3 linked regions of the Macaca mulatta genome follow. The protein of the gene in region 3 purifies or fractionates together with the protein of the main gene of each other region. This does not show direct contact. Links are inferred from orthologs where the notes say so. Each region holds a gene or a part of one and is shown on either strand. Other genes may lie near its edges. The genes, in order: FAM83D, FAM83H and CSNK1A1L.

Region 1 (10,190 bases), on a different chromosome or scaffold from region 3:
GAACAAAAGAGCATAGGGAATAGGCACTGGTAAGAAAGGTGACTCTGAGGAATTGGAACCTCCTGGTGGTACCAGCTTTGCCTCTGAACTCCCATTCAACAAACTGGAATAGCCGGACAGCCAATTCATAAGCACATTGCCAAAATGACACTACATAGCCCTTCCAGGCAAGGGGCCACAGCCCAGCCAAATCCCAGTTCACATAGCAACAGAGGCAAAAAGCTGAATGAGTCATCAATAGATACAGTGGTAGAGGGGTGGACCTAGAGCAAGTACATGGGGAAAATATCCTGCATAGTTCAAGATTATCCAAAAACTTCCTTAGGAAGCAAACATATGGGTTCTCAAAAGGTTCAAAGCAGTATTTCCTCCAGTTTTGGTGAAGCTCGCCTAAGCACCTGGTAAGCAGCCAGCTTGTATTCAAGCCATGCTACACATAATTGTGTTTTTATTTATTTTTTAGAAACAGGGTCTTGCTCTGTCACCTAAGCTGGAGTGCAGTGGCATGATCATAGCTTACTATAGCCTCCAACTCCTGGGCTCAAGTAATCCTCCTGCCTCAGCCTCCTGAGTAGCTGGAACTACAGGCACATGCCACCACACCCAGCTAATTTTTTAACTTTTTGTAGAGACGGGATCTCACTATGTTGCCCAGACTGGTCTCAAACTCCTGACCTCAAGTAATCCTCCAGCCTTGACCTCCCAAAACACTGGGATTACAGGCATGAGCCACCACGCATGGCCAAACCATTTGTTTTTAAACACTGTATCTCATTTAGTGTGGCAGAATGCCCACACTTTGAAAGGTATATAGAAACAGTGTCAAGGAAGGGGATGGCAGATTCACAACCCCCAGGCACAGCCACCCAGGGACAAATACTTGCTGAGTAGAAAGGCAGACAGAATCACCTGAACTACTTTTCTTCTTACCTCCCACTCCCTTTCCCCCACCCTTTATTTCTCCTTAAAGCATGTAGCTGAATGAGCAAAGCTGCACATAATAGGCCCCTACAGTATTTACTGAGCACCTTTTATGTATCAGACACACTGAGTGATTCTGTGTGGTCAGAGAGCTGCTGGATAAAGCCTATGCCAGAACCAGCCATTTAGGCTGCAAAGCCAGGATTAGGCCCTGCCATTTACCAAGTAACCCTGGCTTCCTGTGCCTATACTCTGGTCAAGGAGCTTCATATTCTGGCTTCTTCCAGAGACATTCCTGAAGATGCAAGGTGGTCCCCAGACCACCTTAGTGAGGGCAAATAAAGCTGCACGGGGCAAACGCTGAGCTCTGACCCTGCTCTACTGCAGCCTGGCCCCAACCTCTGGGGTTAAGTGGGACCGTTCACGTGGCATTCAAAGTTCCTTCATTCACCCACCAAAAGGTTCCCATAGATCCCTCTGCTCCAGGTACCAGAAGTATCTATCTGGCTCCATCTTTCCCAGGGAGAGGAAAACGCACTCTAGTTTACAAAACCTAAACCCAGAGACCTATATTCTTCTGGCATCATTAACCACCTTCCCCACTTGATGGGTGGAGGAGGTTCTCTGCCAGCCTTAATGCCTCCTCCTCTAAAAACTGACCACCTCGTTTTCTTCCTGAAAAGGACAGGTCTAGTCACTGTCATTTTCCTGTTCATAGAATACGCAACATGGAAATTAAAAAGTCCCAATCTTCAACTGTTACAAACCTTCAGCCTGTTGAAAACTAACAAAGCTCCAATCCTTCCTCATGGCAGGGAGGCTGTGTGCTGTAGGGATTAGGAGTGTGGGCTTCAGTGGTCAGGCACCGTGGCTCACGCCTGTAATCCCAGCACTTTGGGAGGCTGAGGCGGGCGGATCACAAGGTCAAGACCAGCCTGGCCAAGATGATGAAACCCCGTCTCTACTAAAAATACAAAAATTAGTAGCAGGCGCCTGTAATCCCAGCTACTTGGGAGGCTGAGGTAGGAGAATCGCTTGAACCCGGGAGGCAGAGGTTACAGTGAGCCGAGACTATGCCACTGCACTCCAGCCTGGGCAACAAGAGCAACTCTGTCTCAAAAAAAAAAAAAAAAAAAAAACACCCTACAAAATTTAGCTGGGCTTGGTGGTGTGCTCCTGTAATCCCAGCTGCTCGGGAGGCTGAGTCAGGAGAATCACTTGAATCCAGGAGGTGGAGGTTGCAGTGAGCTGAAATCATGCCACTGCACTCCAGCGTGGGTGACAGAGCAAGACTGTCTTTAAAAAAATAAATAACAACAACAACGAAAAAAAACATGTGCGCTTCAGAGCCGGAACTAGACAGACTTGGGCTTGAGCCCAGCTCTGTCCCATGCTAACTGTGTGATCTTGGGCAAGTTACTTAACTTCTCTGTGCCTGGTCTTTTCTTAATTGTGGCCTCCTCACAGGGTTTGAAGAGTTAAATGAGGTAATTCAGGTCAAGGGTTTAGCACAGAAACTGACCCATTCTAAATGCTCAATCATATCACCATTAGGTACCTTTGCCATCAGAACACGGATGCAGAACAGCTTCTCATTTCATCCTGAAAGCAGCCTAAGACCTACACCTTTATGATCCTCGCTGTCACAGGTACTAGACTTCAAAGGATGTGGTCAAGGTGACACAGCCACTCCCTTGTTCACAATGCATGCCCTTAAACAGTGGTAGCACTTAGCCAACCACCAGATCTGCTCTCTGTCACCTCTCCCCACCCGAGCACAGGCTCCTGAATCCTCCACAGCGAGTGTGGTTGTTAACAGTGGTTCAGACATTCTGTGCCTCAATTTGAGTACAGGGTCCTTCATTCTCTAGCTGCATGACTCTGGGGCTACTTAACTTCTCTATGCCCCAGTTCTATCAGCTGTAAAATGAAGATGATAATCGCACCTTCCTTGGGATTACTTAGAACAGTGCCTGGCAAATAGAAAGCATTACTTTTTTTTTTTTTTAAAGAGACAGGGTCTCCCCACGTTGCCCAGGCTGGAGCACAGTAGCCATTCACAGCATGGTCATAGTGCACTACAGCCTCGAATTCCTAGACTCAACCGATCCTCCTGCCTCAGCCTCCTGAGTAGCTGGGACTACAGGCACATGATACCATGCCTGGCTTTTTTTTTTTTTTTTTTTTTTCAACAAAAGAGCGTCTGGGACCTCAAATTCAGCACTGTCTCAAACCCAACTCATTTCAGCATCCCTTACCCCAGCTTCCTCTCCTACCACTAACCCGCTATGGGGAATTTGGCTGCCCCCAAACATTCCAGTTCCTTAAACACTTGTGGGCCAGCCCCCATACCCTAGGTCTGGCAAGCCCAACCCAGCTGTGAGGTCACTGCCACTCCACAGACTTTCTTTCTTCAGCCCTTTCCGCAGTACCTGTAGCAGACTCCTCACTGCTTCCCATCAGCACACTGTCTACCCTCAAGTGTTGGCAAGGTTGATGCCTTCTCCTGTGGCCCCAGGCCTGGTAGTGTCTGATACACAGCAGGCAATGAGTAAGCAAATAATTTGGCATCTATTCGACCTACTGAAAATACTCATTGGATTTTTTTTTTTCCCAAGACGGAGTCGTGCTCTGTCGCCCAGAGCTGGAGTCCAATGGCGCAATCTCGGCTCACTGCAACCTCCACCTCCCAGGTTCAAGCAATTCTCCTGCCTCAGCCTCCCGAGTAACTAGGATTATAGGTGCGTGCCACCACGCCCTGCTAATTTTTGTATTTTTAGTAGAGATGGGGTTTCACCATGTTGGCCAGACTGGTCTCGAACTGCTGACCTCGTGATCCGTCCACCTCAGCCTCCCCAAGTGCTGGGATTACAGGCTTGACCACCGTATCCAGCCAATACTCATCGGATTTAAAGGTAACTTTCTCAGTTTAAACTGCCCACGTTCCAAATATAGCATCTCAGAGGGAACTGTGGGTAGCTAGACTAGGGCAGCAGGTTCTATCTGGAAATGTCAGTATTACAAAACGCCCATGGGATGAGGGAGAGTCTGAGCTCCCGGCTCCATCCCCTCCTCAGGCCAGCACGTGAGTTTAATTTCCCTCTGGCCTCTGGTTCCAGTGCCCCTTTGCTATCACTAAAATTTTGAGATGGGCAAAAGACTAGAACAATCCACAGCTCTCACTATATAGACCAGTTCTTTACATTTTTCAGGTTCCAAGTGCTCAAGTTCTACTGGAGGTGAGCTTTGGGAACGCATACCTACACAAGTCTGCCTTTTCCATCTTTTTAATCTTCTCACTGAACCCGCAAGGAAAATGTCTACTGCATCAAAAAACCCTCAGCCCACCTAAAGCACCTCAGGGCTGGTAAAAGCCTAGCTGCAGCCCACAACCACTCCCTCAAAAGCAAGGCACTAGGTCACTGTATCCACTACCACTGCAACCCCACCATTCAGGGAAAGAATATTAAGAACATTGGTGAGAATTGGGGCTTGGACTTGGACATGTCAACCTGACAATGCACTGGTATCTTCACCCACAGTCAGACACACTCATGTACCAGCCCTCGCAAGTCTTACCATGGCTGGGGCTTTATCTGCCATGTCCCTGGCACAGGCAGACAGCCAGGAAGCCGGGCACTGCCAGTCAGCAAGCAACCTGACCATGGTTCCAGACCAAGGTGTCTGCCACCATACTGTTCTGCCACACCCACATGCAGGCTGCCTTCTTCCTCCTTGATCCCCAACACCCTGCTGCAGCTTCATTGAGGCTGGCAAGCAGACAAGACCTCCACTGCGCCCATGACCATGCCATACTGAGTCAGACAGTAGGACCAAAACAGAAGCCGATCTAATGCAAATGTATCTGCATTTTAGGAGACCACTGCAATCTGGCACAGACCCAGCCTATGGAAAACTCCTTGCCCCTTTCATTCACAACGGCAAATTTCCCCTCCAGTCTCTGGCAGTAGAAAAAGCGGCAGGGGGCCGGGCGCAGTGGCTCACGCCTTAATCCTAGCACTTTGGGAGGCCGAGGAGGGTGGATCACCTGAGGTCAGGAGTTCGAGACCAGCTTGGCCAACATGGCGAAACCCTGTCTCTACTAAAAATACAAAAACTAGCCGGGAGTGGTGGCAGGCGCCTGTAATCCGAGCTACTTGGGAGGCTGAGGCAGGAGAATCACTTGAACCCGGGGACGGAGGTTGCGGTGAACTGAGTTCCCACCACTTCACTCCAGCCTGGGCAAAAGAGTGAGACTCTGTCTCAAAGAAAAAAAAAAAAAAAAGACAAGAAAGAAAAAGCGGCAGGGGTCTCACTTTGCCACTTGTGTTTATCTGCTTTTTACAACATAAGATGCGTGAAAGTAATTAGCAATAATAATTGATTCCTAATGCCCCGTAGTTGTCTCTGGAGACCACCTTCCTGGAACTTTCCCTAGGTAAGTTCTTTGGTAATGAGTCTCCTAAGAAGCTCCTGAAAGTGGGATGTAGCGTTGGCTGACAGCCAGGGAAATCGGCAATTTTCCAAGTTTGATTTCAACTGAAATTTGGAGCTGGGAGTACTTCTGGTCCCTCCTTCAGGGATATGAACGTTAGGAGATGGAACCCGGACACAATTCTTATCCTTGGGAACCGAGGCTTCCCCACTATCCCCTGCCACCAGGAGCGGCCCGGGGGATCCGGGGAAGACACGCAGAGTGGGGTGTGAGTCGGGGACCCCGGGACCCCGTGGCCCGCGCTTCCGGTAGGGAGCTGAGGAGGTAGTCGCCCCGGCCTGTGCTCCCCGCAGGCCTCAATTTCCCATTCTTGAAGGGGGTCTCCCGTGCGACCCAGAGCCCGGGAGGGCCGCTCACCTCTCGCGCCGAGCGGAGCTGCTGGCGCAGAGCGTCCTTGCAGCCGTAGGGGCCGCCCTCGCCCGTGCCGCGGGGCTGGAAGTGGGCCTCGACGCGCGTGGCGCCGCGGTAGGCGCCCTGGTAGAAGGCGGGCCAGCCGAGCTCCAGCAGCGGCGGCTCCAGGTCCGACTGCTCGGGGAAGTAGGTGCCAGACGAGCAGTCATGCGAGGAGCCGAACGAGTCCTCGGCCGCCGCCGCCGCGCCCTCCTCTCCTGGCCTCTCCGCCGCGCGCAGGATGGCGTGCACCTCATCGGGGTTCAGGAAGCGAGCCAGGCGCTCGCGTCGCAGGAAGGCCGCGAAGGCTTCGGGGCCGCCGGCCACCAGCTCCTCCAGAGCCAGGCGCCGTGACTCGCTGAACAGCTCGGCCGGGTTGGGCGGCCCGCACGGAGACAGGCAGGCAGCCGGCAGTTCGTCCAGGCCCTCGCACAGCAGAGCCATAGCGGCACTCGGACGCGACAGCCCTCGGACAAGAACCAGCCTGCAGGCCCACTTTATAGGCAACCTTTGAATCAAACAGGCCCGCGCCATTGGCCGCACCTCCCCGCCTCGACTCTCCCATTGGCTGCATTCCTTCCAATAGCGGAGCGAGGCGGGGCGCAAGCCTCTACGGTTCCGCCCCCTCATGCGTTATTGGCTGCGATGCTGGGGTTGCTAAGCCGAATTTAAACTTGCAGGGGCGAGGCGGGCCGCAGAGCAGGGACAGAGCGGGGAGAGCCGGGCTCCTGGCCATCCCAGGGCGCCCCCTGCCGGCCGCCCCCCAGTGCGGCCCTACAAGGCCAGGGACAGTCAGGCCTAGGCAGTGAGGAGAGGCAGGTGCCGGCTCCCAGACACGTTGGCCACGCTGCTCCTAGGCTCTCAGAGCTTTGGTATGGCCAAACATATCGTCTTTATCCCCTGCCTTTAACCACGTATTCATTCATTAAAAAAATACCGGCTCATCATATTAGGACCGCTCCTTTGCTTACACCCTCGGGTAGTCTTCTCTCATTTCATCAGTTTTTGCCTTGTAAAACTCCAACCAACCCTGGTTGTATCCTACTTTGCACCTGCACCCCGGCAGCCCTACAGGGCTGGAGAAAAAAACAAAAAGAGCATAACCATGCTTACTGACTGGTCATGTTTTACATTCATAATCTGTAAGACTACCTGCTAGGAGGCCGGGCGCGCAGTGGCTCACGCCTGTAGTCCCAGCATTTTAGGAGGCCTAGGAGGGCGGATCACCTGAAGTCAGGAGTTTGAGACCAGCCTGACCAACACGGTGAAACCCCGTCTCTACTAAAAATACGAAAATTAGCCGGGCATCTTGATGTACGCCTGTAATCCCAGATGCTCGGGAGGCTGAGGCAGGAGAATCACTTGAATGCGGGGAGAGGAGGTTGCAGTGAGTCCAGATCACACCACTGCACTCCAGCCTGGGCGACAAGAGCGAAACTCCATCAAAAACAAAACAAAACAAAACAAAACAAAAAAACTGCCTGGTAGGCCACATTTCCCTCATTCTCTCTACCTTTTCCTCTCTGACAGCTTGCCTCCTATGTCACCGAGAACACAGAAGCAGTGAGAAGGGAACGTCCACGTGCGCCCATCTAGTCTACCTTCCTGTCTCCATCGCTGCCCATATACTGGGCATTGATGAACTGCGCCTGTGCCCATCCAACCCCAACCCCTCTGCCTGGGCACTTCCAGCCCCTCTACTACTCACCAGCATCACTCCAGCAACCTTCTTCTTTCTCCTGGAACATCAGCTTCCCTCTTTACTGATTCATTTCTATCAACCTACACGCATGCTGAAATATTTTTCGTCTTAAAACAACCCTCTTTTGACTCTACATTCCTCTAAAGCTCCCCATCTCTCTTCTTACTTTTGCAGCATAAAATCTCAGATGTGGCTGGCCATGGTGACTTGCACCTGTAATCCCAGCACTGTGGGAGGCCAAGGGAAGAGGATCACTTGAGCCCAGGAGTTTGAGACCAGCCTGGGCAACATAGTGAGATCCTGTCTCTACAAAAAAATACAAAAGTCAGCTGGGCATGGTGGTGCGCCTAACTCTTAGTGCATGGCAGTGCTCCTGTTGGTCCCAGCCACTGGGAAGGCTGAGGCAAGGGATCAGTTAAGCCCAGGAGTTTGAGGCTGTAGTGAATTATGATCACACCACTGCACTCCAGCCTGGGTGACAGAGTAAGACCCTGTCTCAAAAAAAAAAAGAAAAGAAAAGAAAAAGAAACCCTCAAACCAGTTGTCTATACCTGCTGTCTCCAGTTCCTTTCCAGCCCTCTTCAATCAGGCTAAAACCCTCACTTCTTTACCAAAACCTCTTGTCAGGTTCATCATGAGTTCCACAGAGCTAAATCCAACAATCAATTTTCAGTCCTCATCTTTCTTATGTAAATGAAAAGTGCGTCATAAATGTGAGAGGTTGCTATTATTATTTAGTAACCAATAACCTTTTTAAATGGATGAATGCCTGCGGCTATTCAGACGCCTCTCCCTCTCTTCCCCTGCTCTCCTCATCCCTTTGTGAAGTTTCTCAACAATAAGTGTGGGGCCTTCCATGTGTCCCTGCTCTGGTATCCAGTGTCTGGGAGGCTATAAGAGAGCACCTTTTTTTCTTTTTTCTTTTTTTTTTTTTGAGATGGAGTCTTGCCCTGTCACCCAGGCTGGAGTGCAATGGTGTGATCTCGGCTCACTGCAACCTCTGCCTCCCAGGTTCAAACGATTCTCCTGCCTCAGCCTCCAGAGTAGCTGGGATTACAGGCTCGTGCCACCACGCCCGGCTAATTTTCTGCATCTTTAGTAGAGACGGGGTTTCACCACATTGGCCAGGCTGGTCTCGAACTCCTCACCTTGTGATCCAACACCCTTTTCATCCTCTTTAAAGAAAAACACCAACAAAGTTCTGTGTGGGACAAGGACCAAGGATTGTGGTCTGAGGCTGTGCAACCACATAGCTTCTGTATGGCTGTAATGCTTGAGGTAAAAAATGAGAATGGCCAGGGCCTTAGCTGCTGTATTGCTGTCATAAGGTGAAGTACTTTATAGTATTATACTTCCCCACAATAAGCACACGAGGGGAAAGAGTGGAATAGGGCAGGGGGAAGAAGACAGGACACATCAGTGTACTCCAAGAATGGGACAGAGGAGAGGGGCACCCTTGTCATGAGACAAATGTCATGAGAGGCCAGGTGCGGTGGTTCACACCTATAATCCCAGCACTTTGGGAGGTCAAGGCGGGCAGATCACTTGAGGTCAGGAGTTGGAGACCAGCCTGGCCAGCATGGTGAAACTCTGTCTCGATTAAAAATACAAAAAATTAGCTGGACATCATGACAAGCGCCTGTAATCTCAGCTACTTGGGAGGCTGAGGCCGGAGAACCGCTGGAACCCGGGAGGCAGAGATTGCAGTGAGCCAAGATCGCGCCACTGCACTCCAGCCTGGGTGAAAGAGTGAGACTCCGTCTTAAAAAAATAAAAATAAATAAATAAATATCAGGAAAAACTTTGAAAATGTATGGAATAAATATATGCAACTCTAGGGCCTCATGTTAATTTCAAAGAGAATATTTGACAGAATGAAGGTCATTCCCAACCACCAGTTTTTTCTTGAATTCATCAGTTTTCACCATCTCCCAGTCTGGAGAGACATCTGCTCCAGGTCTGAGCCCCCAAAGCTCCCTCTACTTCAGGGGCCTCATGGGAAAGCCCTCTGTGGGGAAGGGGTGGGGTAAGGGGGAAGAGACTAGAAGCCCTCACCCACCCTCTATTCCAGAAACCTCCTCTTTGTGAATTCAAGTCAGCACTGTTCAAGTGAGCTCACAGCAATAACCACTCACACTAGCAGGTGTTATTAAAAGGAATTTAATAATTTTAATTAAAAATTCTTAACAGCGAATTCCGTCACAGGCCTTGGCATCTGGAAGCAACTCCAGGGACATGTGCCCCCTTTGGGATGTGGCTGACCCACGGTTTTGGACCCGAGGCCCACCGGTGCCGCGTGGCGAGGGGCTACCTGGAAGTTACTTCAATACGATATCAAAGATCCGCGAAGATTTTTTTAAAAAAAGTTTTAAATATATTAGACTCTCTTGATTGCCATTTTTACACAAAGCTGCTGATACAGTATACAGAGTTTTAACTTTTTTTTTTCACATAAAATACATTTTTTAAAGTGTTCTCTGTACATCAGTGGCTTCTGGTCTGGTGAATTATTGCGGAGGGCTGGGGGTCTGCAGACTTTTCCTGGGTGTGCAGAGCCAGGCCCCGCACGGTGGCACTTGCAATGCCCATGGGAAGCGGGCCCTCTGGCCAACAAGAGAGTCCTGTCGGGGAGAGGGCTATAGCTTCTGGCACAGGGGGTCACTTTTGCAGAGTCATCCACTG
Region 2 (10,066 bases), on a different chromosome or scaffold from region 3:
GGGCGGGGAGGACGCAGGGATACAGGACAAGGGCTCCTGGCAAGGAGGGCCCTGGTGTGGAAAGGGGGTGCTGGGGCTACAGGAGGAGGCCCCAGAGAAGGGGGTGAGGGAAGCTCGCGGGCGCACCTGTAGCTCCCACTCATCACCACGGCACAGTCCACCAGCAGGAACTTCTCCTTGACGTGGCCCTTGAAGGACTTCCCAGTGCGGCAGTAGTAGGTGGGGCCCGCCACAGTCCGTACCCGCAGGAACTGGGGAGGGAGGGGAGTCAGATCTCTGCCGCGGGTCCTCCCCAATCTCCCACTCCCGGGAACTCACATCCACGTGGTGCAGGTTGACACGGCACTTGTCGGCCATGTCCAGGAAGTGCTGCGCGTTCATCTCATCCAGCAGGATGTAGACTGGGACCCGACGGGCGGCGGCCTCCAGCACTTCGCTGAGCAGGTCCACATCAGTGAACATGTCCATCACCACGGCCACCACCTGCAGGGGCGGGTCAGGACAGAGAGGAGAGGCCCCTGCTGTCCCCACACTATTGTCCAGCCTCCCCACCACGCCCAGGAGGCGTCTGGATCACCCACAACCACTGTGAAACAAGCTAGTCCATCCCTGGGAGTGGGGCTGCGTCTGGAAGATGGGTAGGAGGAAGGGACCACAGGACCAGAAGGAGAAGAGGTGTGGAGTGGCTGGCCATGAGGAGGGAGCCGAGGCAGGTGCAGGGCAGAGAACCCTGGACGAGGGTGGGCCAGGTTGGGGTATGGGGCCCCGCTGGGGGCATGGCAAGGGCACCTCAAAATCCCCTCCACCCTACAGACGGCTGAGCTGCCCCCACTCCAGGACAGCTGTCAGGGCTGAGTCCCAGGCTCCAGTTCTGCCCTGGGACAGGGTTGCTGCCATGGGCAGGGGAGAAAGTCATGGGCCTTTAGCGTCTGGACCTGATGCACCCTGCACCGTCTGCTAGCTGTTTGGTGAGGGTTAGAAGCCCTCAGCTGGCCAAGGGCCACCGGGCAGGATGAGAGGTAATTATCTGAACAATCAACCCAGGCTGGGGCGGTGCCCACCCATCTCAGAGCCCCTGAATTTCTGGGCACTGGCCATGACCATGGGCAAGCAGACCCGTGCAGAGCCTGTAGCCCCTGATGATCGAGACCTGGCGGCCCTGAAGATTGTTGCCAGGAACCCCCGCTCCAGCTGGAGCTCAGGGTTCACCCAAGCTGATCGTGCTCATGCGTCTCCTCCACCCTGGTGCCTCTAGCCCTGGCCCCTCCCCACTACCCTTGAGCCCAAGATGGCGCACCTGCTGGGCGGAACGGATCATCCTGCGGGCCTCATCCTTGATGCTGGGGCTGTCGGGGGGCGGTGGCTGCACCAAGGTGGTCACCTCGGTGCCCTGGAAGCCGAAGGTCAGAGGCCAGCCCAGGTCAAGCTCAGGCACGGCCTGGTCTGAGTTCACTGGCCAGTATGTACCTGAGGAGCCATCCATGTCCACGTCGAGAAGGCTGCCTTCGGGTGGCTCTCGGGTAACATACTGTGGAGGCCGAAGGTGTCGGCTCACATGTTCCAGCTCTTCAGGGCACAGGAAGTCTGGTGCCCCCTCAGTCGCCAGGAAGCGGCTGTAGGCCTCCGAGCCACCCTCGGCCAGTGCATCCACCGCCAGGCGGTAGTACTCTTTGTAGTGAGGCGGCAGGTACCCGGGTGCCAGTGGGTTGTCCCCCTGCGAGGAGCTCTGGGAGCGACGGGCCATGTTGGGGCCAGGGGTCTGGAGGGGCAGGGAGACACATGACTAGGGGTGGGGGCACTGGGACCACTCCTACCCTCTAGAATGGACACACTGTGGAAGGGGCTGTCAGTGACTTGGGTAGGCTGAAGTTTAGCCCATGCCCAGGAGGCCTTCCAGGACACCAGCTGAGCCAGGCTCACAGAGGGCAACCCAGACTGAGGGACACCCCAAGCTGAGGGGATACTGGTAGAGGGTGGGGCACAGGTATCCCAGCCTTGTCTCTCCTTCCTCTGGGAGGCTGAGGCAGGACAACCGCTTGAAGCCAAGAGTTTGAAACCAGCCTGAGCAACACAGCAAGACCCCATCTCTACAAAAAATTTTAAACATCAGGCAGGCATGGTGGCGTGCGCATGCAGTCCCAGCCACTTGGGAAGCTGAGACAAGGATTGTTTGAGCCCAGGAGTTGGAGGCTGCTATGAGTTATGATTGTGACGCTGCACTCCTGCCTGGGTGATAGAGACTGCATCGCTACAAAAAATGAAAATAAAACCAACCGCCCCCCAAAACATTTTATGACTGTTGGCTTAAAGACAAACATAATCCAGGCTGTATTCATCATTATAGTATTCACTTTTTTCTTAAGACATTCACAGGCCCCTGGCACTGTGCCTACTGGATAAGCTGGTGCCACCCATGCTGGCATGTGTCTGTCCCTGACTGCCTGGGAAACCGTGGGTAGGTCACTGCACCTCTCTGGCCTACCTCTACTGCACAACACAGCTGAGGGTCCACAAGACACCGTGCCTAGCCAAGGTGAGCGCAGCAAACAGGGCTGTGACCACCCTCCTCCTGGAATGGCAACCCTAAGCCCTACGCATAGCCCCGGGCGACACCTCCTCCCCATCCCCAGGGTTTCACAATTGGGTTCCCACAGCCCATTCTATGACTGCCCAGCCTTGCAACACTGACCCCTAGACTCTGTCTCTGTCTACCAGTCCCCCTCCTTCCCTTGACCTTTCTTGTCACTGTCCTTCTCAGATAACACCTCCCTGGACCACAACCCCTTGGTGCCCACAGGGCCCTGCAGGGCCTGCACTCCATATCGCCCAGATCTGGCTCTCCACTTGCTCAGAGTCCTGTTGCCACCAGCCCCCCGTCCAGGGCAGCAGGGACCTTTCCAGGTCCTGGGCTCCCCACCATCATCCATACTTGGCTGCCCCACAGCCCAATCTGTTCTCCAAAGGGTCCCTGCAGGGTGCCTGGCCTCTCCAGAAAGGTCAGATGGGGCGCACCCAGGGCCCACGCCTGGGGTCACCGAGCTACCTGGGTACCTCTCCCTGGAAGGAGAGCCCTAGGGACCGCTCAGCCCATCCCACTGCTCCTCGGGTTGGGGAGGGAGGCAGGACACCTATCCCCGCCTAGCACACAGGTTCCCGAATGTTGGCCCTGGCTGGGAAGGTGGTTCAGCCCAGACAGAGGAGTGTGCCCTGGGGCACTGACAGGATGGGCGCTGGCCAGCTGGACTGCACGGGTGCTAACCGGAGCCACTAGGCTGAGAATGTTGGGGTCAGGAGGCCGCCGTCCTGCCTGGTACCCCCGGGGGTGACATGGAGTTGGGACATGGGAAATACCTGGTGCCACTCAACAGCCCCAGATGCCAACTGGCCTGGGAGAAGCTGTCCCAACATTTCTTTGTTGGGGCATTGTCCTCATGGTTGACATATGGGGCTCGTTAGGGCAGATCGAGGCCAACCACATGGGGGTGAGGTGTAGGCCTGTCTGGCTGGGCCGGGGCGCCCACTCACCACTGCCAGCCTGGCTGTAGGGGCGGTGTCTGACCATACAGGGCAGGGGGAACAACCCTGCTAACCTTGTTTGAGGGCACTTCCCGACGCTGGGGGACACTCTAGAAAGGACCCCCACTGTCCCTTAGGATTTCACAGGGGAGGGATATCCACACAGCATCCAGGCTCCAGGCTGTGTGTAATGGGGGCAGGGATCATCTGGACTGTGGAATCCCCCGTTGCCAGGAGCCCTCCCAGCAGACACCCCTCATCATCACAGGGTGATGCCCAGACCTCCAATGGCTTCATTCCTCACATCGTGTCCTTTCATGGGTACGTGTCTGCTGGGCTATGGACGGGGCCGCAGACACTCCCAAGCCTGAGATGGAGCACCCCAGTGGCCTGCATGCCCACACATTTGCCTACCAAACGCTTGCCCAAGGGAGGTAGGGCACGGAACCCACCCATGGCCAATGACTCAGCACGAATCCACTCTTCTGCTGCTGACCCCTGACCTCTGACTCGAAGTCAGGGCCCTCAGCTGGCCTTCAAGGACCCCATCCTCTCCACCCTGGCAGGAAGTGGGGTTCCTGAGTATCTGGAAGGAGGACCCCATGGAAGGATCCGGAGTTCCTACACAAAGTGGGGTGAGCCTGTGCCAAGTTCCGATGGGCCCAGGAGGGCGCGGAGGCTCTAGGAGGCGGAAAGGTGGGGTGCGGAGGACAGGGCTCACAGACCGGAAGTCGCTCAGTGATAGCTTGCGGGGTGGGCACCCCAGCCCCCAACGGGGTCAGTGCACCCTGCGAGCTCGCGGCTGCGGCGGCTGGGTGCCCCATCCACCCACCCCAGCCCTGGAACATGGGCGCTACGGGCAGCCCTCCCGTCACTCGCCCTGCTTGCCAGGCGGGGATCCAGGCCGCACCCTGGCCACCCCAGTCCACGGTGGCCCGGGCGGGCGTCCCCAGGGAAGGGTCCAGGCCGTGCCCAGCACCCAGACTCCAGCTAGGCCGCGAGGGCAGCAGCGAGTCGGGACGGCCAGGCAGGCTCGACCCAGATCCCGGGCCGCTTCCCACTCGGCTCTTCTCGGGCTGCCGTCGTGCGAGGGCGCTCGCGTCCATATCCGCACAGCGGCGCCCCCTGTCCGAGCTGACCCGCCGCCCCGGCCCCGCGCACGCGGCCGCGCTCCACTCCCACCTCCCCTCTCTGGGTCGCGCGGCCCCGGCCCAGGTGCGGGCGCGAGGGTAGCCCAGGTGGGACCGCACCGAGGGGCGCCCGCCCCCGCCTCGCCCCGCCCGGGCCGGGGGAGGGGGGCCCTACCTGGCCAGGTGCGCGGGGTCTCGGCACAGGGGCAGCAGGAGCCGACCGCCGCCCAGCGGCCTCGCGGTCCGGTCGGTCCGGCAGCCACTCCCTGCCGCGGCCCGCCCGGCCTGATTCACGCGCCCGCCCCCGCCCCGCCCGTCGCTCCTGCCTCCTGCCTGCCCGGGCAGCACCTGGGGGCGGAGCGGCCCCACCCGCGGCGCGCCCGCATTCCTGCGCCCCGCGCCCGCCGCGGCCCCGCCGCCCGCCCCGGACCGCGCCCCCGGCCCGCGCCCCGACCCTCCGCCCCGACTCGCCCGTGCCCTGCGGCCACGTGCCCAGAAACCCCGGCCCAGCGCCGCCGGAGACCGTGAGGCCCCCACTTCAAAGGCCTCGACCCCCAGGAGCCCAACTGTTGACCCCAGGCTCAAAGTTCCTAGCCTGACCCCTGACCCTCGCCCCGGAAGTTGGGGTGACTCGGAAGTTCCGGCTCAGTCGCTAGGAAACAAGCCAGCCCGACGCAAGGGGCGGAGCTCTGACCTCCTCGCCGAGTTGGTGAAGGCAGGTGCGGCAGGTGAGGGCGCTGGGGCGGCGTCGAGCCCCGGGCGGGGCCGGGTCTGGGAGCCCCGAAAGCACAGGGGATCCATTCACCACACACCGGTCTCCCACCGCACCAGCGTCCCACACGTAGAGGGGATCCCGCCCAACAGAGGACCCCCAGGCCCCGACCCCCACCACACACACACACTGATGCCCACAAGTACCTGGGGTTCCCCATCTTTCTCCCTCATCCCTTCACATCCATGCCCACACTTGTAGGGGACTCTGCTGCAGTGACCCCCAATGCACATGCGGACCCCGAATGACCTGTCCCTCGTGTGCACCAACCCCCCAAGCACAGGAGACTCCTCAGGAAGACAGAACCCAACAAGAACACCCAGTCCTATCCACTTCAGTCACCCACAAACACGCTGACGTCCGCACACGTAGGGAACCCCACCTGCATATGAGAGCCCTCAGACACCGATCCCACACACAAACAGGGATGCCATATTCACACTGACTCTGAGAGACCAGGGGACCTCCCTCACACATATAGAACCCTGGGTGTACACTCGGGGACCCCGCGAAAACCAAGCCCCAACACGGACAAGGGACCCAGTGTGCACACCAAGCCTCACATACCAGACGCCCCCGCATGAACACAGCAACCCCACACACTACCCCGAGCTGCCCCTGGGTGCTCCAGAACCCCCAAATCCCCCTCAGGCCCTCACTTAGGGCCTCTCCCCCCACTTAGGCCCTGCCCTGCACTGGATTACCTGTCCAAACCACCACCCTTCACCCCTGCCACTCCCACCCCAAGGACTGGCCCTGCCTGAACGCTTTCTGATGGTATCAGTCACCTTTCTGTTTGTCCCTCTTGCCATGTGATCCTATTTTCTGTTTTCAGGGTCACTCCCAGTTTCATTTGTTCTTTCCCCAGACACTCAGTGACACCCCACTGGTACCAGTATGCTGGAAACATGGGTGGGGGGTCAGACCAGTGCCCAGGCAACTGTGCTGTAGCGGGTGAGGGGCATGGGGCACCAGGGAGGACCCCGACAGGCCAAAGCAGGCAGGAGGAGCCTCCCAGGGAAATGAACTTGGGGGTCAGCTGTGTGGACTAGGGAGAGGGGTATTACTCCAGGACCTGACAACACCATCTGCCAAGGCCGGGACCACATAGGGTCTGAGGGCGTGGAGGGGTGAGTGCCTTGGGTGGGCTGGGGAGCAGGCTCACGGGTGGGCTGGGTTCCCAGGGCAGTGGAGAGGCATGGAGGCTTCAGCAGAGAGGGCCGTGCTCATGCTTATGGTGAGAACAAAGACCGTCCCACTGGCAACCCAGCACCTTGGGGCAGTGAGAAGAGTGCTGGACTCCAGATCCTTGGCCTGGCGGGATGAGCTGAGCCTGGGGTGGAGGAGCAGGCAAGCCACAGCCGGGGGGATGGGATGTGGCCAAGTGCTCTTGCCAGGCATCCCGGCTCAAGCTTCTGGGCACACACCTGGGGCGGGCAGGCAGACAGGACACCAGCTGGGAAGCCTTGGGGGAAGCCCATGTTCCTGCTGTTATCCACTCAGGCCCCCGTGGTGTGCCCTGTTCCCCACTGCCGCTGTCCCTGCCCTCTGCCACTCTGAGCACCCCCTCCCTGGTCCTTCCCTACCCATCCCCCAGGAGAATGCACAGTAAGAAGGGGGGACCCAAAGCTGCAGCTGGGAAGTGGCAGACGCTCCACCCTGGGCCCAAGCCGAGAGCCACTGCTGGTGAGTGCACCCTCTGACCTCCAGGGCACTGTCACCCAAACACGGACCTGTGAGACCTTCTGTGTAACCACTGAGAGACACCCCCTCTGAGGAGAGCCCTTCTTCCAAGAGTGGCTCTCAGGGGATCTCTGAGTTGGGATTAGGTGTGACTGACAGAGGGTTCATTCATTCATCTCGGGCCTTGAGTCTGAATCTTTTTTTTTTTTTTTTTTGAGACGGAGTCTCGCTCTTGTCGCCCAGTCGAGTACAATCCCGACTCAGTGCAACCTCCACCTCCTGGGTTCAAGTGATTCTTCTGCTTCGGCCTCCTGAGTAGCTGGGATTATGGATGTGTGCCACCACGCCCTGCTAATTTTCGTATTTTTGTTTTAGTAGAGAGGGGTTTCGCCATGTTGGCCAGGCTAGTCTCGAATTCCTGACCTCAGGTGATCCGCCCACCTCAGCCTCCCAAAGTGCTGGGATTACAGGCTTCAGCCACCGTGCCTGGCCCAGCCTTAATCTTATACGCCTGGGGTTGGGATGGGGGCCTGGGGGTAGCGCTCAGAGAAGCCCAGTTTTGGGGGATGGGAAGGGGGCAGGAGCCAGTGGGAGGGGCCTAGGTGGCCAAAAATGGGTTTTGAAACAGGAGGGCTTGAGTCCAAGTTGGGGATTCTCAGTCTAAATATGTGTTCTGCTCTGACTCTGCTCCATCTGGCCGTCCTGTGCTGCCCTCTGCCTGCCGCTTTGCTCCCAGTCACCTTCTCCGTAGTCACTTCCAGGTTGGATGGTGACAACTCACCTGGGCTGGGTTTTCCTGTGGGTCGGGAAGGGGACTTCCCCCAGATCCCCCCCGACCCCGCCTTCACTGTTGTCACTCCCTTGCCCCAACTCCCATTTATTCTCTGTGCTGGCTGTGAACACATTCCAGGCTGCAGATCTGGGGTCCTTCAGCACCCAGGCCTGCGCTGGGGTCTGTGATTACTAAGAGAGTATCCCAGACTGCTCCCCAGACTGCCCCTCTGCTTAGAGTGGGCCTGGCCTAACACCCCTGGATGCCAGAGAGCTCCCAGATTCACAGGAGCAGGTGGGATGATGGTGACCACTCCTCCACACCAGGCTGGGGTTAGATCCTAGTTCCCCAAAATAGCCCCAGCTGCGTCTGAGGCCAGCAGCCCTCCTGGAATGAGGATAATGGGCACAGGCGCCGCATGCTGCTTCCGCAGTCTCTAGCCCTGAGTACACTGCACTCCAATAAACGGGGCAGGGCAGGCGGACCTGCCGGCCAGGAAACTGGGTTGCGTGGGTGGGGGCTGTGCTCTTCAGTTCTGCTACCTACTGACTGCACCCCCAGGCCTTCGCCCTGCACCGCAGCCCATACACTGCCCTGGACAGCTCTGGCCCAGCATACCTGGGTCTGCTGCAGGGACACCTCTGTCCCTGAACAAGTATCTGCCCTCAGTGCCCACTTCCACCAAGCGTTGGGCCAGCCTAGGCAGGCTTGCTGTCCCTTGGTCTTGCAGTGCCCTGCGTGGCGGGCACGGGCTTCACTTGGCATATGTGAAAATGGGCCCACAGATGCCCTGCATCCAGCCTGGCTTCCTGGCCCTCCACAGGCATCCCTAGGTTGCTGGAGTGGCCACCGCACCAACACAAGGGTCCGGGATCCCCTCCCCACCACCCCATCCAGGCCTTACCTGGCCTTGGGTCTGCAGTGCTTCGAGGCCCTCACTCCGGAGCTGCTCCAGGGCCATGGCCAGCTGCAGCCCCTCCACGTGCACCCAGGCCTGCTCCTCCTGCAGCTGCTGCAGCCACAGCTGCTCCTCCTGTAGCTGCTGCAGCCACAGCTGCTCCTCCCGCCACAGCTGCATCTGCAGCTGGACCTGCCTCCACCGGTCCTCCAGCAGCAGCTGCTCCTGGGCCAGGCAAAGCTGGACCTCATGGAGCCTCAGCAGTTCAGGTCCCAGGGCCGGCATGGGGCCCCCTGCTCCACAGCCTTCCATGTGCCCAGTGAGAACCAGCACCAGCTCAGACCCTGGAGCAGCAGCCGGCACCGGCCTCGAGGCTGCCTGTGGCTGCTCTGGCCTGGCCACCCTGGGGTGTCCCTGAGGTGCTGGCTCGATGCTGGTCACGTGCCCTGTAGGGGCCACCCCCGCATCACCCTGAGGGCCCCCTGGGGTGAGGGGCGGGGGCTCGACCTCAGGGCCCTGCTGCCCAGCTGCCGGCTGGGCCCTGCCTGCCCTCCTGGCCCGGTGTTTGCGAACTCGACCTCGTTTCCCAGACATGGCCCTGGATCCAGCGTCTCCTTCACCAGGTGTCTGCTCCCCAGGGGCCCTGGCTCATCGACTGGCCGGCCTCAGGCCAGCTCAGAGGGCGTCCCTGGAGGCCACAGTGGCTGTGTGCTCCCACGCCAGGCTCGGCCCCCTGTTCCAGGTCCTGCCCCTTGGCTGGTGCCCGCAGCACCGCAGCTCGGGACTCTGGCTCTGCCTGTGGGCCTCACTGACCCCACTCGGTGGGGCTGGGCCACACCAGGGAGTTTATAGGGACTCCGCGGCGTGGTGGCTCGCCTGGGCTGAGGCTGACTAACGCGCTGACACGGCGGCACGGGGTTTTACAGGCCGCAGGCCCTGCTGGCGAGACTGGGAGGGAGGCTGAGAAGCTGGAGGAGGCAGCGCCGCAGCCAGAGCGCCGGCTGTGCACAGCAACGGGCGTGCCTGGTCCTGCCCTGGGCGGCACCAATGCCCCCCGCTCCCGCCTCACCCCAGCTCCCCCAGTCCCACAGCTGGTTGAGGGAACTGCATCCTGGCCGCACTGACCCTCAGGGCCCAGACCCTCCCTGGCCACAGATAACCTGAGCCCAGCTGACCATGGGAACCCCCAGCCCGCGCACTCCGGAGGGCTCCAGGGCAGCTAGCACGCTCCCAGGAGCACCGCTGGGGTTTGGGCTTGCCCGTGGTGTTTGGTGGAGACAAAGGGTCCAGGGACA
Region 3 (9,961 bases):
GCCCTATAGAGATATGTCAGTTTCATCTTCTCCAGCATCATTAGCTCTAGGTAGTGCAAATGTTTCCACTTAAGTTAAGGAAAATTTATTCCACAATGATAATTAATTGTATGATAATGAGATTACAGAGATTATAGCAGGTATGCCCAATGAGACCTTTATACTGGCTTATCACAAAGGATACACATGAAAAGATGCATAGGGTGACGTGTGGGAGAAGGGGCATGGAGCTTCCACCCTCCAGGAGCCTCCACATGTTCAGCTATATAGAAGCTCCTTCAGTGGCGTTTTCTAAGTGAGGGACTCTCTGACTGCCTTGGTTTTAGCTGGGCACAACACTCCTCATTCCCTCCACTGTTATTTTTCTTCATTGTAATTATCTTCTGAGTAATTTTAGTTATTTCTTTCATTTATTTGTTACCCCCACTAGAATGTAAATTTCATGACAGTAGGGATTTTCACCTATTTTATTCACTGATACAGCCCCAGCAACTAGAACAATATCTGGCCTATAGTAGGTGCTTAACAAATGAATAACTGAAGATGTGAATGAACTGTACTGAAACATAACTATGGCCTCCTAAGCATGGAGAACAATAGCCATGCACAGATGGGTGCCTGGGTATCAGAATATGTCTACAGTTAAACACGAATATGAACAAATGAAAATCATTTTGTATAATTTGGTGACTTTTTTTCTGTGTTTATCATGCTTCTCTTTCTGTAACAGGGATACCAAAGATTGACCAGATGAGATTTTAGAGGTAAAGTTGAGATTTGTAGGTAAAACTTAATTTCATCTATAATTTCTGAGTCAAACCTTAGACCATTAAGATAGATTCAAATAGATGCAGTGGGAAGCCTTGGAAGTTTTTTTCAGGGTATATGTGAACAAGTCTGTATGTGAAAGCATTGTGGGTGGTGGTGCTGGTATTGCTGGATTGGGGTGAAAATGCTTATTTGTAAACTTCTGTGATCATCTCTGATTGGAAAAGTAGCACCATCCTCAGCTGCTCCATCCTCCTGGTGGGTCTCGTAATGGCCCCAAGGAATCATAGATGTTAGAAGATGGTGGAAGAATAGAAAGGCTGTGAAGGACCCAAAGAGGTTCCACTCAACTTACCCATTAATAAAATGGCCATCATTTCTTCTTTTTCCCTTTTTGATTTAAAATACTATAGCTGCCATTTTTCAAAATTTTTTCCTTTTAGTTTCTTTACAGCTTATTACTTGCCTGGATTTTCCATAAATATTTTACATGCTAAGGGACATAGTGTTTAAGTCCTGTGATTCTCCTGTGCCTAAATCAAGTTTCTAAATTATGTCATATGTTGGGAACTGCAGCCAGGAGTTAAAAACTTGGCAGTTTAAAAACCTGGATTCAGTACAGGCTTCCACTATCCCTTGGAATCATTCAATATGACCTCTTGATGGGTGGGGGGCTCTCTTTTTCTCTCCCTGTTTTTGTAGTTCCTAGGGATTTCAAAGTTGGAGGACAGAGAAATACAGAACTGAAGATGTACTTTATTCGGAATATGTGTGATTTTACTTCTGCACAGTTCAGATGTGTGCTACTTTTTAATGTGTGTGACCTATGAGAAGCTATAAATATGTCAAGGAAAAAAGTACATACATATAAATGTGTGCATGCTGTTTCTTTTAAGCTTTTGGCTTTAGAATACAAAATATATTATTGTCTTTTGTCTTCATGTGGCAGAATATAGTTCCTTTTGTTACTCGACAGTAGGTTCCCAATGGAAGAAGGTTAATGACAAAGAATCCAAGAAGACGTTTTTTTTTTTAAAAAAAAAAAAACTTCTTTTGTTTGATATTTTTATTATAATGGAATTAGGAAAATCTCTTAATAAAAATATTTGTTGGTGGAAAAATCATAGTAAAGGTAAACCTCCAAATATCTATTTGTAGACCATCAAAGCATAAGCACATCCATATGGTAGGATAACCAGTGTCTCCCTTCATGTCTACTCTCTTTTTTTGTCTTTTTGACAGTCTTGCTCTGTCACCCAGGCTGGAGTGCAGTGGTGCGATCTCGGCTCACTGCAACCTCTGTCTCTCAGGTTCAAGCGATTCTCCTGCCTCAGCCTGATGAGTAGCTGGGACTACAAGGCATCCACCACCACGCATGGCTACTTTTTGTATTTTTTAGTAGAGATGAGGTTTCACCATGCTGCCCAGGCTTGTCTCAAACTCCTGACCTCAGCTGGTTCATCTGCCTCGGCCTCCCAAAGTGCTGAGATTACAGGCGTGAGCCACTGTGCCCAGACACGTATACTCTTTTTAAAATTTTCTTGTTTTACCCTCCCCAAAACAGAGACATTGAACAGTAGTTAGAATGGCCATCTCCCAACGTGTAAAAAAACTGCACTCTCCAATGGGTGAACAAAGTAAAGAGCAGTAACTTAGAATTCGGCTGAGGAAGCCACTGTGGAGCCTTAAGGGGTGAGGTCTCCCAATATCACAGTGATGTGTCTTCAACTTATATCACCCTTTAGTGGAAAAACATAATGTAATTTTTGTGAAATGAGATTCATCTCTTGGCATGACTAGTAACAGCATTCACTGCATTTCACATTCTTCTTTTATGAACTGTGAAGACATTGAATGGTATCTAGAAGAAAAATGGAATGATGATATACCGGGAGAAAAACACCTATATTTTGTTTTACAAAGCTAACAGTAGTTTTAAATCTGCAACTTCATTATACAACAACTATGCCACAACCTTTTCAAATGGCAAGAATACAAAAATATTTCAGAATAAGTACATACTGAATAAAAGCACTGAAAAATATCTTGCTGGGGGAGGTAAGCTTGGAAAAGTTACTACCAAAGTTAAATATTTTTCTTTTATATAAACTATACTCAAAAATAGCTTTATGAGACTGATTTCTGGAAAGGGCTTAATAGCTAAGAAACAAATACCTTAACTAACAAGGGTGGATAGAAGGAAACAAAGAAGCTTCCTACCCCCAACATTTGGACTTACTAAGATTTCTTCAGTATTATAGTACTAATATATCCCTTAATGGCAGAATGCGGTAATCATGGAATTAATTATTGCTGAAGTAGTTTTCAAATGAAAAAAAAAAAAAAAATGAAACCTGATACAATCTGACCAAACATGTGGCAATTTTCAATTTCAAGGTTATTTTACAAAATGCCTACATTTACACAATAGGCTCCTGGCAGCATTTTCAGACAAAAGTTCTTTTAATTTATCCTGACATGCTATAAGTGAATAAATTACACTATTTAAAGAATTAAAAGGAAAATGAGTTTTCCTTTATCTTGCGTCAGAGAAAAAAAAAGAAGGTGCAAAGAGATTGAGAGGAAGCGCATACACACACACATAATTCAGAGAAACAGATGGGGGTTAGGGAGAGTCAATGATCACAGAACCTCACACAGTGTGCTCTCCAAGGGTAAAAGTCAACTGTTTATAGCCATTTCACAAGTATTTTAAACAACAATGTTTTATAGTCAAACCCTTCAATGCTTGCATTCTTTTTTGAAATCAGCCCAGCTATTAGTCAGTGGAAGAAGTAACAATACCAAGTTCTGACAGTTGCAGTACTAGATACTGTACCACAAGTCATTAGAAAAAGAAAAATGAAAGAATACATTTCTCTTCATACAAAACAATTATTTTAGAATAAAAACATTGAAAAAACTTATGTCATGAAATAAAATTTACTTGCAAAGGAATATCATGTAACAAATGACTTTAAGTTGACTATCAAAAAATTGGGGAGATTTTTATTTCCTAGTGAATCAGCAAGGCATTTTTTGGTTGTTGTTTAAAAAAGTATCATTTTCTTACAGAAACGGTTTTAAGTGAACTTGTAAAACATAAAAGCTCCCATTTCAAAATATGAACAAAATCCCAGATCACATAGGTGTTTACAGTGATTACATTTATCTAAACAATGCACATACATGTTCAGTTGTAAGATGTTAACTAAATTTCTGTGACAAATATGGTTGTTGTTGTCGTTTTTATAATACCGAAAACATGATAAAGTTAGTGTGGAATTCTAAAGATTATCTGGTAGTTACTAAGATTTTCTTATGTCTTTGCAGGTAAGCAGGCAGTATCTTTCCTATTCTCAAAACTGGAATTTTTGTTTGTTACCAGATCAGCTGGCTTGCAAACAAGAAGCCAACCATTTTAAGAATGCTTTTTGTGTGAACAATTTGCAGACCCCAGGGATGGAGAAACCCTAAAAATGCTCAATGGTAAGCATTTACAACCTTTACAGCTGTGGCTGAAGACTGTTCTTCTGAAATGAGATATCAAAGCAGTCTAGTTCAAAATAAAAGGTTTTAACAAAAAAATTGGCATATGGACAATGTCTCCACCAATTCGTGTGTGTCAACCATTTAGTTAATTTTTCTACTTGAATAAATGCAATAGAAAACCAGACACCATGTTTCACTACCTCAGTTAATATTCACAATTACAGCGGCTACACACCTTGGGATACAGCATCACCCACGCTCCCCAGAGTCAGTTTATATTGAAATAAAGTTTTTTACACCAAGTAAATGGTTGTCCACAGCCACTAGCTAGTGTGCATATGAACTACAATTTCTAGATGTGGGGAGAAACAAATGCTGCTCGAATCATCTGCTCTGCTTCTTCTGTTCCTCATTCATGCTTAGTTTTCTTTCACATTATTCTTGTTTTTTTCAGTTTGCTTGCCTGTCTGGGTTTGGGCCTGCTGACCCTGCCCACTGGAAGAGGCTGCCTGCTGTGCTGCTTTCTGCTTTAACATCGTCCAATCAAATGTGTAGTCATATTGGTGGTTCAGGGTCCTGAAAAGAATGCGGAATAGCTGCCTCAGATACATGTAATCTGGGACTTCCTCAAAGCGCAGCCCACGACAGTAGTTCAAGTACATGGCGAATTCTGCAGGAAACCCCTTACATAAAACTTCAACAGGGGTGGACATCTTCTTCTCACTAATTTTTTCATATTTTTGTTTTTTTGTTATAGCCTTTAGTCCTTGCCACGGCAGGCTGGTTCTATTAAAATACATGAAAACGTAGCCTAAGGATTCCATGTCATCTCGGCGGCTCTGCTCAATACCAAGATGTGCATTGATGCTGGCATATCGGACAGTGCCAATGAGGTGTTTATCTTCTCTGTACGGTATGTGTTGCCTGGTCCTGTTGTCTCTGTACTTTTTGGCCAAACCAAAATCAATAAGGAACAACTTGTTACAGTGGCGCCCAGTACCCATCAGGAAGTTATCTGGTTTAATGTCTCGGTGTAGAAAATTCTTTGTATGCACGTATTCAATTCTGCTGATCATCTGGTCGGCTAACATAAGTACAGTTTTCATGGTGAACCTTCTTGAACAGAAATTAAAGAGGTCTTCGAGGCTGGGTCCCAGAAGGTCCATGACTAGCACATTGCTGTCTTTTTCCTGACCATACCAGTGCATGTGGGGGATGCCAACCCCACCTTGAAGAATCGTGTAGAGTTTGCTCTCATATAACAACTGGGGGTGCTTGGCCTTCTGAGATTCCAGCTTCACTGCTACTTCCTCGCCGTTGGTGGTGGTGATCCCCAGATAAACGTCTCCGAAGGAGCCAGACCCGATCTTCCGCACCAGTTTGTATTTCCCTCCCACAACGAGTTCGGCCTTGGAGCCGCTGTTGTTTGCCATCCTGAGAGGCAAAGATGGAGGCTGGGCTCTGCCCTGACCCCTCTAGGGGAGGATGGAGGCCTCCGGGGCCCGCCAGCCCCACAAGGCTGAGGGTGAGGGCTGCTGGAAATGGCCACCGAGGCCTCTCCCGGTGTTACAGGGCCTGGAGTCAGCCTGATCCCCAGAGCACACCAGGGTTTCCGCCAGGCCACAGTTTTCGAGGGCTTCTCAAGGTTGCCAGGCTGGGCCACCACCTCTTTCTGGGTGGCGGTCGCTGCCTCGCTGTCGCGGCGACGTCGCGGGCTGAGAAAGGGGGCACAGCGAGTTGCGGCAGCGATACCACTGCCACCGCTGCCAACGGCTGTGGGCCCGAGGGCCCGGTCACGCCGCTGGCGCCGCCATCTTGTTCCTCCGCCTCAGCCAACCACAAATCGAGAATTTTTGGAGACACTATTAATGTTTGAGTCCTCTGTTAGGTGTTCCACTCATCTTGTTCCATTTAACACGAACTTGCTAGTCTTGTAAGATAGCTGTTATTTTCCCTGATTCGTTGGGTAAGAAAGGCTAAGTCTCAGGTAAGCGGCCTAAGGTTGCAAGAGATTGTGGGCCAGCTGGAATTCAAAACTGCCTAGGCTTATGTAACTCGAAGCTCACCTCCTTTCAACTTAATTGTGCAGAAATGGGAGGCTTTTATAACAAAGATATTCTTGTTTTCGGGCCCAGTCATTGTCCCACCTACTTCCCTAGCCATCATGTCTCCCTGGGTTAATGCCAATTGGGGTGCCACCCCTTGGGCTTTTTCTCTGCAGTCTCAGTGGTTGCTTGTTTATTGAGTTTGGTCAACAAGAGTTACTTACTGCTAGTTAAATTGAAATGTGTGTGTGTGTGTTTTTTAAGCGATCTTTTTGAAATTTTTTCATAGAGTGCTTTGAATTTAAATAAGATTCCACAGAGAAGTTCTGGCAAAACTGACTAAATGAAGGATTCAAGTAAAATTTAACCAAAATAGAGAGAAGAAACAGACGCCGGCAGTTCTGAGCATTTTCTCGAAAGAATTGGGGCCAACACTAGCAGAAAAAGCGGTACCATTTCAATATTTTTATGACAGTTCACATCACAAATAACAAAACCTGTGCGATTATTTTGTTTTATGAGGATATGGGATAGGAACTGAGTATAATCCTAACGGGGCAGTAGCAACGAATTTGGGGACCAATGGCAGAAGGGCAGGAGAGGGAGGTGCAGCTTTGAAAGTAGGTATTCCCACTTTACTGTCTCACATAAATTAGTGCTGTTTCTAACTTTTCTGACCTGCATCAATCTATGGCGAGAGAAGGAGCTGCTTTGAGACATAGACGGGCACAGAACATTATAGAGTGCTTTAAAACATTTTTAAAGTTCGCTTAAGACAAATATGTGAGGTGGGTGGCACAGTGTATTACTTGGCTTTGCAGCAGGAACAACTCGCAAATCTCAGTGACTTACAATGACAAAGTTTATTTATCATTCAGGTTTTATGTAAGCTGTAGATCAGCTGCATCTCTGCTTCCTGTGTCCTCTTTGTTCTAGAATGCGGGCTGAAAGAGCAGCCTCCTTAGGAGCATGCTGTTCTCATAATAAAAGGAGTGGCAAATGTCACATTCCACTGGGCAAAACACATCACATGGCCAGGTCCAAAGACAGTGGGGTGAAAATACATACTCCTCCCACAGGTGGATAGTAATACAGTATACTGCTGGCATATTTTATTATTGTGATTGTACTTCTCATTTTATACAAGTGGAAATTAAGGCATAGAGAGGTTAGATGAATTGCCCAAGACCACACTACAGGTAAGTGTTGGAGGCCAATTTGAAACTGAAGTCTGGCCCAAGGCAGTTACTTTTTATACGGTACCAACTAGAATGGCATTTCTTTCATTTACTCATCCAACTTTGTCGAAATTTGCCTGGAGAACAATTTCCTTTCTAATAATCTAGAACAAAATTTATGTTGTTAACCCAGTGCCCATTACGCTTCCTTCCCTTTCAGTCTTCCAGTCAATAGCTTCAACATGAACCTTGAAATTCAAATGATCTCTGTGTGAAAGAAGTCGCTATTCAAAAAAGATACGGATAACCCATACTTGGACAAAAGCTTGAATTAAAAAAATCCCCTTTCAATACTGGAACAAGAAGAGTTTAATTATAATTTATTAATTGTTTACTAAGTCCCATACTTCTTTGTATCAGTTAAATAAAGGCAGTGTCTACAAAGAAAGTAAAGTGTAACTTATAATGGTGGTTGGATGAACCTTCACTTACAGGGAAGTTGTGAGCATCTCCAGAGTGGGGAGGATCAATGACTGAAGTGGTGATATGACCCTGAATAGCTTCCAATCCAGTCTCCCATGAATTCTCTTACCACAAGCCAGTGGGGCTGCTGATTTTTCCCCGAACACATACTCCTTGCATTTTTTTTCCATCTTTGGGTCTTGGCTTATGGTGTTGCTTCCTCAGCCTGAAATGCTTCCAGTCTGCTTTATCTTTCACATCGCCCAGGTCTAATCCTAATAATCTCAGGACTCTTCCCTAAATGCTGTTTGCTCCATGAAACTTTTTCCAATCTCCTTAACCAAATTTAAATACTCTTTTTTAAACCCAAACAACACTTTGCTTAAACTCTTGCATCCCTTCCCACCCTTTTGTCCAATATTTTTCCCTAAAAGATGGGCAACAAATAGTTTATAAAATGGAAGTAAATTGAACTACTGTATTTGATAAAGTTTTCTGGACAGTGTGTGGGATTGATGCATTATTTATTCATTCACTCAACAAATAGTTACTGAATGCCTCCTATTTGCAGGGCATGAGTGACTCACCAAAGGTGGAATAGATAGGGAATGATGGATTCAGAATGGAAATCCAGGCTGGCTCCAAAGCCAGTACTTGTAACCCCTACATAGATATCAACAGCTAGAGGCCCCTGAACGCTGGGTGGCTTCACTGTTGGGAATATATTAGTTCTCTTTCTTTCCCTTAATTGTGTAAAGTATTTTACCAATGCATTTTAAAGCTATGATTTAGCCTTGGTTTCACAATTGCCTCTAAAATAATTTCTATTAATACAAGATGACTCCAGTAAAAATAAAATAACGTATTCTGGGCAGGATTGTACTGGGTAGTATTGTACTAACAGCCAATTCAGGTTTTGTCGGTCCTGAACTTTATACAATTTTTTTTGTGGCCCTCTTTAAGAAAAACAACAACGATAACAACAGCAACAAAAAACAGGCATGAAATATTTAACTTAGGAAAAGAAATCATTACAATTTGCTTGACTGTTAGAGGTTCAAGTCTCTTTTTTTATCCCCTAAGCTATCTTGATGCAATTGACCAGAAATTCTTATGTAGAAATGTTCCCACAATGCAATCTGACTTCTCCTCCCCACGTGAAATACTTCAGAACTCCTGTCCACTCCTAACACTTAGAAGGGACCTTGCAAAGGAGGCTTTATTCACTTCCCTGTAAGTCCACATCTGCTTTTGGCAATTAAGAAATGATACTCAAATGGCATTGGTTTTAGTCTCATATGAATTTTGGGGTTAATTTTCTGGGCTTCTTGATGTCCTTTCCCAGGAAATGGAGACACTTTAGTAGAAAGGTCATTTGAGACACAAAAATTTCTAAGTAAAAAAAAAATTTTTTTTGGCTGTCAAATTGGGTCAGCAGTTGTCATTACAGAAACCATTTGGCGTGAATATCATCTCCTTTTGGAACTATTTAAATAGAATACAAAATAAGTGAAAATATGTTCTTAAATAAATAATGCTGTCACTAAGGGATTTACTGAAGTTTATGTGGCTCAAACACTATGTTCAGAATAACATTACCCAGAATCAATCACTTCAGTTTTTAAAAGATCCTGGAGATCACTAACTTTATAGAAGGATTTAAGTCATTTTTTCCTCAAAGTTTTCTGGAAATATTGGCACTGCAAAGACAATGAGACATATTGGAAATGAGGCTATTTGGTGTAGTATCAAAAACCACAGCAGAGGGCATCATTGTAATGTGCTGGAGTTTTCTTCATGACAGAATATTTTCTACATGGCTCTGCATCTTTCTGTTCACTCATTTTGGAACTTGCAATATCTGGAAAAAAGAAAACACTTTTAAATACCAATTTTACTATATTGAGAATGTAGGGTGCAATTTTAGCCTTAAAAATCATTACTTTTTTTGTTTGGTTCCCATGAAATTATTGCAATTTTGGCACCTTTCTAGACTTCCTTCCAGAGCAGTAAGGA

Evidence for each region.
Region 1: the proteins of CSNK1A1L (region 3) and FAM83D purify together in Homo sapiens (affinity purification with mass spectrometry; 3 studies listed by BioGRID and IntAct, with this or other methods). This does not show direct contact. The link is inferred for Macaca mulatta from reciprocal best matches to the Homo sapiens genes CSNK1A1L and FAM83D.
Region 2: the proteins of CSNK1A1L (region 3) and FAM83H purify together in Homo sapiens (affinity purification with mass spectrometry; 3 studies listed by BioGRID and IntAct, with this or other methods). This does not show direct contact. The link is inferred for Macaca mulatta from reciprocal best matches to the Homo sapiens genes CSNK1A1L and FAM83H.

Annotation. Positions count from the first base shown.
Region 1 is NC_133415.1:91,794,548-91,804,737, reverse strand, and holds the start of FAM83D (protein FAM83D), read right to left. Parts: upstream 6,477-10,190; 5' UTR 6,437-6,476; coding exon 5,774-6,436; intron 1-5,773.
Region 2 is NC_133413.1:154,095,505-154,105,570, forward strand, and holds the start of FAM83H (protein FAM83H), read right to left. Parts: upstream 5,020-10,066; 5' UTR 4,822-5,019; intron 4,110-4,821; exon of another isoform or gene 3,969-4,109; intron 1,760-3,968; 5' UTR 1,745-1,759; coding exon 1,298-1,744; intron 484-1,297; coding exon 319-483; intron 252-318; coding exon 127-251; intron 1-126. UniProt on the Homo sapiens protein: May play a major role in the structural organization and calcification of developing enamel. May play a role in keratin cytoskeleton disassembly by recruiting CSNK1A1 to keratin filaments. Thereby, it may regulate epithelial cell migration.
Region 3 is NC_133422.1:16,703,571-16,713,531, forward strand, and holds CSNK1A1L (casein kinase I), read right to left. Parts: upstream 6,104-9,961; 5' UTR 5,694-6,103; coding exon 4,680-5,693; 3' UTR 3,696-4,679; downstream 1-3,695. UniProt on the Homo sapiens protein: Casein kinases are operationally defined by their preferential utilization of acidic proteins such as caseins as substrates. It can phosphorylate a large number of proteins. Participates in Wnt signaling.